Linked DNA regions of Callithrix jacchus. The protein of the gene in region 1 purifies or fractionates together with the protein of each later gene. This does not show direct contact. Links are inferred from orthologs where the notes say so. Each region holds a gene or a part of one and is shown on either strand. Other genes may lie near its edges.

Region 1 (3,645 bases):
CAACATTTGGAAGATCTTTGTAACTCAGTGATCCAGTATTTTTTTAAAGAATCACACAAATCCCAGCACTTCGGGAGGTTGTGGCAGGCAGATCACTTGAGCACAGGAATTCGAGACTAGCCTGACCAGTGTGTGAAACCTTGTCTCTACTAAAAATATAAAAATCAGCCGGGCATGGTGATGCATGCCTGTAATCCCAGCTACCCGGGAGGATGAGGCAGCGACACCAAATTGTCAAGAATCACTTGAGCCCAGGAGATGGAGGTTGCAATGAGCTGAGATCATGCCACTGCACTCTGCCTGGCTGAAAGAGCAGACTCTGTCTCAGAGGGAAAAAAAAAACCACACGCGGACGACACGGATTTAAGAAACTCATTCAAATTATAGGAGTAATCAACAACGTTAATATAACAAAGGAAAGCCAGGCAGGGTGGCTCGCGCCTGTAATCCCAGGAACTTTGGGAAGCAGAGGGGGCAGATCACGAGGTCAAGAGATGGAGACCATACTGAACCAACATCGTGAAACCCCATCTCTGCTGAAAAAATACAAAAACGAGCTGGGAGTGGCGGCGTGTGCCTGTATTCCCAGTTACTCGGGAGGCTGAGGCAGGAGAATCACTTAAACCCAGGACGTGGAGATGGCAGAGAGTGGAGATCATGCCACTGCACTCCAGCTTGATGACAGAGTGAGACTCCATCTCAAATATATATACATATATGTATATGTAACGAAGGAAAAGTTCACTAACACAGCCTCAGATTCCTCACTGCACCTAATGTGTATGAAACTGCCACTGGTTATTCCAAAGTAGTACAGGGTGAGTATTCTATAAATGCTTGTGACCAGAAGCCTTTTGGATTTTGCATTTTTTAATACCTGCATATGCCTATCTTTTTTTTTTTTTCAGACAGAGTCTCACTCTGTCACCCAGGCTGGAGTGTAGTAGTGCGACTGGCTCACTGAAACCTCCGCCTCCTGGGTTCAAGCTATTCTCCTGCCTCAGCCTCCCGAGTAGCTGGGATTATAGGCACCCGCCACCACACCCAGCTAATTTTTTATATTTTTAGTAAAGATGGGGTTTCACCATGTTGGCCAGGCTGTTCTTGAACTCCTGACCTCATGTGCTCCGCCTGCCTCAGCCTCCAAAGTGTTGGGATTACAAGCGTGAGCTTTCTGTGCTTCAAACCAAAGTGCACACTGCAACAGATTGAATGCAGAAGCAGACATGAGAGGCCAGGTATTTTGCATGAAGCCAGCCACAGAGAGATCTACAAAAATGTCGCTCTTTACTGAAAAAAAAATTTTTTTTGAGACAGTCTTGGTGTTGTCCTGGGTTGGAGTGCAATGGTGCAATCTTGGCTCACTGCAACCTCCACCTCCCAGGTTCCAGCAATTCTTCCTCAATCTCCCAAGCAGCTGGAATTACAGGCACGAGTCACCACACCTGGCTAATTTTTATATTTTTTAAGTAGAGACAGGGTTTTGCCACGTTGGCCAGGCTGGTCTTGAACTCCTGACCTTGTGATCCGCCTTCCTCAGACTCCCAAAGTCCTCAGGCTAGGCGTGAGCCAGCATGACTGGCCGAAAAAAAAAATTTTTTTTTTGAGATGGAGTCTTGTTCTGTTGCCAGGCTGGAGTGCAGTGGCATGATCTCGGCTAACTGCAACCTCCGCCTCCCTGGTTTCAAGTGATTCTCCTGCCTCAGCCTCCTGAGTAGCTGGGATTACAAGCACATGCCGCCATGCCTAATTTTTATATTTTTAGTAGAGATGGGGTTTTACCACGTTGGCCAGGATGGTCTCAAACTCCTGACCTTATGATCCTCCCGCCTCAGACTCCCAAAGTGTTGGGATTACAGGCATGAGCCATCGGGCCCAGTCCCCCATTTTTTTTTTAATATACATTTTGGGGTTCTCAATATTTTAACAGGCTAAAATGGGCTCTGACACTAACACGTGTGAGAAGTGCTTATCTAAACAAAAGCGCTGCAGACACAGTAGAAATGTTTACAAATGCAAATCTCAATGTGCTGGTTCAGTTTTTTGGCCAACAGACTCCCAAGCCCCACAGCCCCCAGCATGAACACTCTGCTGCTGTTCGTACTCAAGCACCTAGGAAGAGTCAACAGCCCGTTGCCTAAGACGTGGTGACTCGCCTGCTCTACCTGCAGTATCTATTCCTTTGGAACAGATGGCAAGCAGCTGGAAATTCATAGGTAGCGGCTGTCAGCCTGCTGTGCTCACCTCCGCTTGTGTATACCTCCAACTGTCGGTTGATGTTGGATTTGTCTACTAGGGAATGAAGGACATTCAGGACACTGTGAACATTCCAGATTTTGGGATTGGAACGAAGGAAGTCAATCTCCTCCTCTGACTTCTTGGCAGTCTTGCAGCGGTACTGACTGAAGGACTGGAACTGTGAGTAGGAAGGAAACACACGGTAGTGGTATGAGCCCACAGTGATCGTCCCCGTGCACAGTGCTGCAAAGGACACAATGCTCTGGCTCTGGACAGGATGAGGTGACGGTGAGACAACCACTTCTCATTCTAAACAGAAGTTGCTAATTTTATGATAGAAAAACAAGCTGGGCATGGCGGCTCATGCCTGTAATCCCAGCACTTTGGGAGGCTGAGGTGGGTGGATCACCTCAGGTCGGGAGATCGAGACCAGCATGACCAACATGGAGAAACCCTATCTTTACTAAAAATACAAAAAATTAGCTGGGCATGGTGGCTCATGCCTGTAATCCCAGCTACTCAGGACGCTGAGGCAGGAGGGTTGCTTGAACCCAAGAGGTGGAGGTTGCAGTGAGCCAAGATCATGCCACTGCACTCCAGACTGGACAAGAAGAGCAAAACTCCATGTCAAAAAAAGAAAAAGCCAGGGGTGGTGGCTCATGCCTGTAATCTCAGTACTTTGGAAGGTGGAGGTGGGTGGATCATGAGGTCAAGAGATTGAGACCATCCTGGCCAACATGGTGAAACCCCATCTCTACTAAAAATATAAAAACTAGCTGGGCCTGGTGGCGCTTGCCTGTAGTCCCAGCTACTCAGGAGGGTGAGGCAGGAGGGTTGCTTGAACCCAAGAGGTGGAGGTTGCAGTGAGCCAAGATCATGCCACTGCACTCCAGACTGGACAAGAAGAGCAAAACTCCATGTCAAAAAAAGAAAAAGCCAGGGGTGGTGGCTCATGCCTGTAATCTCAGTACTTTGGAAGGTGGAGGTGGGTGGATCATGAGGTCAAGAGATTGAGACCATCCTGGCCAACATGGTGAAACCCCATCTCTACTAAAAATATAAAAACTAGCTGGGCCTGGTGGCGCTTGCCTGTAGTCCCAGCTACTCAGGAGGGTGAGGCAGGAAAATCACTTGAACCCAGGAGTTGGAGGCTGCAGTGACCCAAGGTCGCATTACTGCGCTCCGGCCTGGCAACAGAGCAAGACTCCATCTCAAAAAAATTAAAGAATAAAAATAAAATAAAAAGCAAGTATCCTTCAATCAAAAATTCTACTTCTAGGTAGTGATCCCTAAAAATATGCCTATGGATAACACATATATGGATATTCATTGATTCACTGCCTGTAACTGTGGAAACTGACAAATCCAATGTTCCCCATCAGAGGCACTGTACACTCCTATCATGCA
Region 2 (3,645 bases), on another chromosome or scaffold:
GCTGCAGAGGCCTGGAGCAAGGGCACCCACCCACACATAGACCTAAGATACCCAAGCATTGATTGCCAACTTGAGATCTGGCATGTGGTACGGGATGGCCCCACTTGTCCACACATACGGGCTCCCAGCCCCGCTCCCCTGTGCTTAGGGGGAGAGGGGCTCAATGAAGACAATGGGTGGAATGAATGATGCTGTTTCTCTCTTGTTTCTGAAAGATTTCTCCGTGGACAATGGCAGCCACGATTCAGGCCATGGAGAGGAAGATTGAATCACAGGCTGCTCGCCTGCTTTCCCTAGAAGGTCGAACTGGGATGGCTGAGAAGAAGCTGGCCGACTGCGAGAAAACAGCCGTGGAGTTCGGGAACCAGCTGGAGGGCAAGTGGGCCGTGCTGGGAACCCTCCTGCAGGAGTATGGGCTGCTGCAGAGGCGGCTGGAGAACGTGGAGAACCTGCTTCGCAACAGGAACTTCTGGATCCTGCGGCTGCCCCCGGGCAGCAAGGGGGAGGCCCCCAAGGTAGCCCTGGGATGCCCTGGGGTGTGGGAGCCCAAGGGGCAAAGCCTGTGAGTGAGTGAATGTGACACTTGTGGTTTCAGGTGCCCGTGACCTTTGATGATGTGGCCGTGTATTTCTCCGAGCAGGAGTGGGGCAAGCTGGAGGACTGGCAGAAGGAGCTCTACAAGCATGTGATGAGGGGCAACTACGAGACGCTGGTCTCCCTGGGTAAGGCCTGACACTCATTTCTCTGTTAAATGGGATTTTGCAAGTCCTCAAACTTCTCTCTCCACATAGTTGTTTCCTGGCAGTGATATGTGAATCACCAGAAACATTGTTTACCTTGCAAGTTGTTACCTCCTGTGAAAGATGAGCCCTGGGTGATGGAATCAAAAGCTCCCTTCTCCCTGTGCAGAGGGTCCCAGAATGCCAGGATAGGAAAGGTGGCGGTGTCTCTTCTCTGCAGGCCCAGGGTGTGGACCTTTCTGTTGGTGCTGACTTGGAGCAAGGAAGGCCCCTCCTGCTCTCAGATCCAGTATGTAATCCACTCACATTTGAGAAAGACTCTTTCTTTCAGCCTTCTCCCACAGAGATTTGTGGCCCTTACGGTGACATGCCTCAAGGTCAGTGGATAACGTGGGCAGACGGTGCTGCTTGCAGCAGACATTTTCTTCATGCCTCAAAACTCTGCTTCCCTCAGCCCCTGGGGCTACTGCTGCTCTCCTCCTTTGATCCTGCCCAGGAAGGGCCTGGACTCTGTTTCTTCCTGGGCTGATTTCCTCTTCCTGATGGTTTCTGTGTGACCCCAGAGCTGAGGGCAGTGAGACCTGATAGAGAGGACAGGAGCAGGTACAGTCGTGAGGTGACATTTCATCAGCACAAGTGTGCCGCTGTTTCACATGCACGCTCTGTGGCAGTTTCTTCACTCTGGCACTGCTGACATTTGGGACCGGGTGATTCTGGGTCGGGGCCGTCCTCTGCGTTGTAGGATGTTCAGCAGCAGCCCTGGCCTCTACCCCCCAGATGCCAGTCACCTCTCCCCAAGCCCTGGGCACAGCGATCAGAATTCTGTCCAGACTTTGCCGCACGTCCCCGGGAGGAAAATTGCCTGTGACTGAGAGCTCCTGCTCTATGACGATCAAGAGATTTCCTTTCTAGACCACTGTTGGTTTTCCGGGCTGACTGTCCCCAGCTCTGACTGGAACGAGGTGAAAACTAACCTTCTGTCTTTCCTCAGACTATGCCATCTCCAAGCCCGAGGTCCTCTCCCAGATTGAACAAGGGAAGGAGCCGTGCAGCTGGCGCCGCCCCGGCCCCAAGATTCCAGATGTTCCTGTGGACCCCAGTCCAGGTAAGGGCTGGGAGAAGGCCAGGGAGGCATCAGGTGATCTGCGGGAGACAGACAGAAAGGCCAGGAACGGTGTGATCTTCCCAGAGAGAGCCGAGGAGACACATCAAACTTACTTGTGTTTGGTCTGAGTTTTTTTATAGTGGAGTTTTAACCTCTGACTTACTCAGCTAATGCTCCAGGAATGAACACTTTCTATCAGGGAAACAGGTGGCAAACCTACTCTTTTAGGAAGAGTCAAAGCCAGGGCACAGATGACAGGAGGGAGAGGAGGACACTGAGAGGGAAGGCCGGAGAATAGTCGACTCTTGAACAACACGGGGACCAGGGGTGACAGACCCCAATCCCACGCAGCCCAAGGTCTATGTCTAACTTGACTCTCCAGAAAGTTAACTGCTAATAGTCTCCTGTTGACCAGAAGCCTTACTGATACTATGTACAGTCAATAATACATAATTTATATGTCCTGGTTACTATGTATTGTATTCTTTAAATAAGCTACAGAAAAAATGTTAGGAAAACAAGGAAAAGGAAATATGTTTGCTACTCATTAAGTGGAAGGGGGTCCTCATAACGTCATCATCCTCAGTGTCATCTTCAGACTGAGCAGGCTGAGGAGGGAGAGGAGGGGTTGTTCTTGCTGTCTCAGGGGTGGCAGAGGCAGAAGAAAATCCACTTGTAAGTGGGCCTCCATAGTTCAAATCCATGTTGTTCAAGAGTCAGCTGTATATTGAAGATAATATTAATTCAAAGCTTTACCAAGAGTCAGCCTTGCCTCTGAAAACCAACCTGAATTTAGAGCAGTAGCAGTTGTAGAACATACACCCATTGGTCAGCCATATGGTTCGGTTGATTTAGAAGCACACATTTATTTAAGGTGAATCTGGTTACCAGATACCAGTGTCTCAGATTTCCCTGGAGCTGCTCAGCACCTTTGAAAGTTAAGAGAAAGACAGGTGGGCACAGGAGAAAACAAAATTCCTAAAGTGAAGTGAAGACCTGCTGGGTCATTTGACCAGGGAGACCACATCTCTGGCAGGCTGGACCCCTGATTCCTCCAGAAGACTCGCCCTTGACCGTCCCACCTGCCTTGGTTTTCCCTTTCGTCTGAGACTGAGAAAGGTGGTGTTATGCAGGGGCCTCCTGCGCTCCACCTGTGTGAAATTAAACGCGGCTCCCATGTTTGTCATCTCATCTCAATTAGATTGGTACTTTCCTAAGGGCAAAAGCATGTTCCGAGCGGGCCACTTTACCAGTCATCATCAGGACATTCACAGTTTAGTTCCACAGATGCATTTTGAGCATCTTCTAGGTGTCAAGGACAGTGCTGAGCGCTAGAGGACAGAAAGATGACTGAGAACAGATAGCCTCAGGCTGGAAAAGAGGGTTACAACCCAGGCGCGTCCAGCCTCCTAGCCTGGGTGGGAGGTTCTCAGTGGGTGGGTTTCATTGTGTTTACAGTGTGTGTGGAGGCTTCCCTCGCTTCCACACCATCATTAAATGAGAGTAAAGAAGTCCCCCAAATTATGTTGGTTGCTGGTAAGATCCCGCCACACTCTGTCTGCATCGTATGATGTTTAGCAGCATCCGTGGCCTCTACCCACCAGTAGACAAAATGAATAGAGACAAACTCTACTGTCCACCTTGAGCCTGTCAGCAGGGATCCTGTGTGGACTTTATCCCCGTCCTCTTGGTCCAAGAAACCAGGAATCACAGCGCATCCCTTGCCATGTTTGGCCTGGCCCATCGCCTTGTGAGACCTCACCTCACCTTCTCACTGCCTGCATGCTCCTCCGCTGGGCC

Evidence for each region. Proteins that work in one complex are often made in the same cells at the same time.
Region 2: the proteins of EIF3L (region 1) and ZNF746 purify together in Homo sapiens (affinity purification with mass spectrometry; 3 studies listed by BioGRID and IntAct, counting the BioPlex papers as one, with this or other methods). This does not show direct contact. The link is inferred for Callithrix jacchus from reciprocal best matches to the Homo sapiens genes EIF3L and ZNF746.

What each region holds. Positions count from the first base shown.
Region 1 is NC_133502.1:208,875,706-208,879,350, reverse strand, and holds part of EIF3L (eukaryotic translation initiation factor 3 subunit L), read right to left. Parts: intron 2,417-3,645; coding exon 2,245-2,416; intron 1-2,244. UniProt on the Homo sapiens protein: Component of the eukaryotic translation initiation factor 3 (eIF-3) complex, which is required for several steps in the initiation of protein synthesis.
Region 2 is NC_133512.1:98,258,689-98,262,333, forward strand, and holds part of ZNF746 (zinc finger protein 746), read left to right. Parts: intron 1-215; coding exon 216-515; intron 516-595; coding exon 596-722; intron 723-1,731; coding exon 1,732-1,845; intron 1,846-3,645.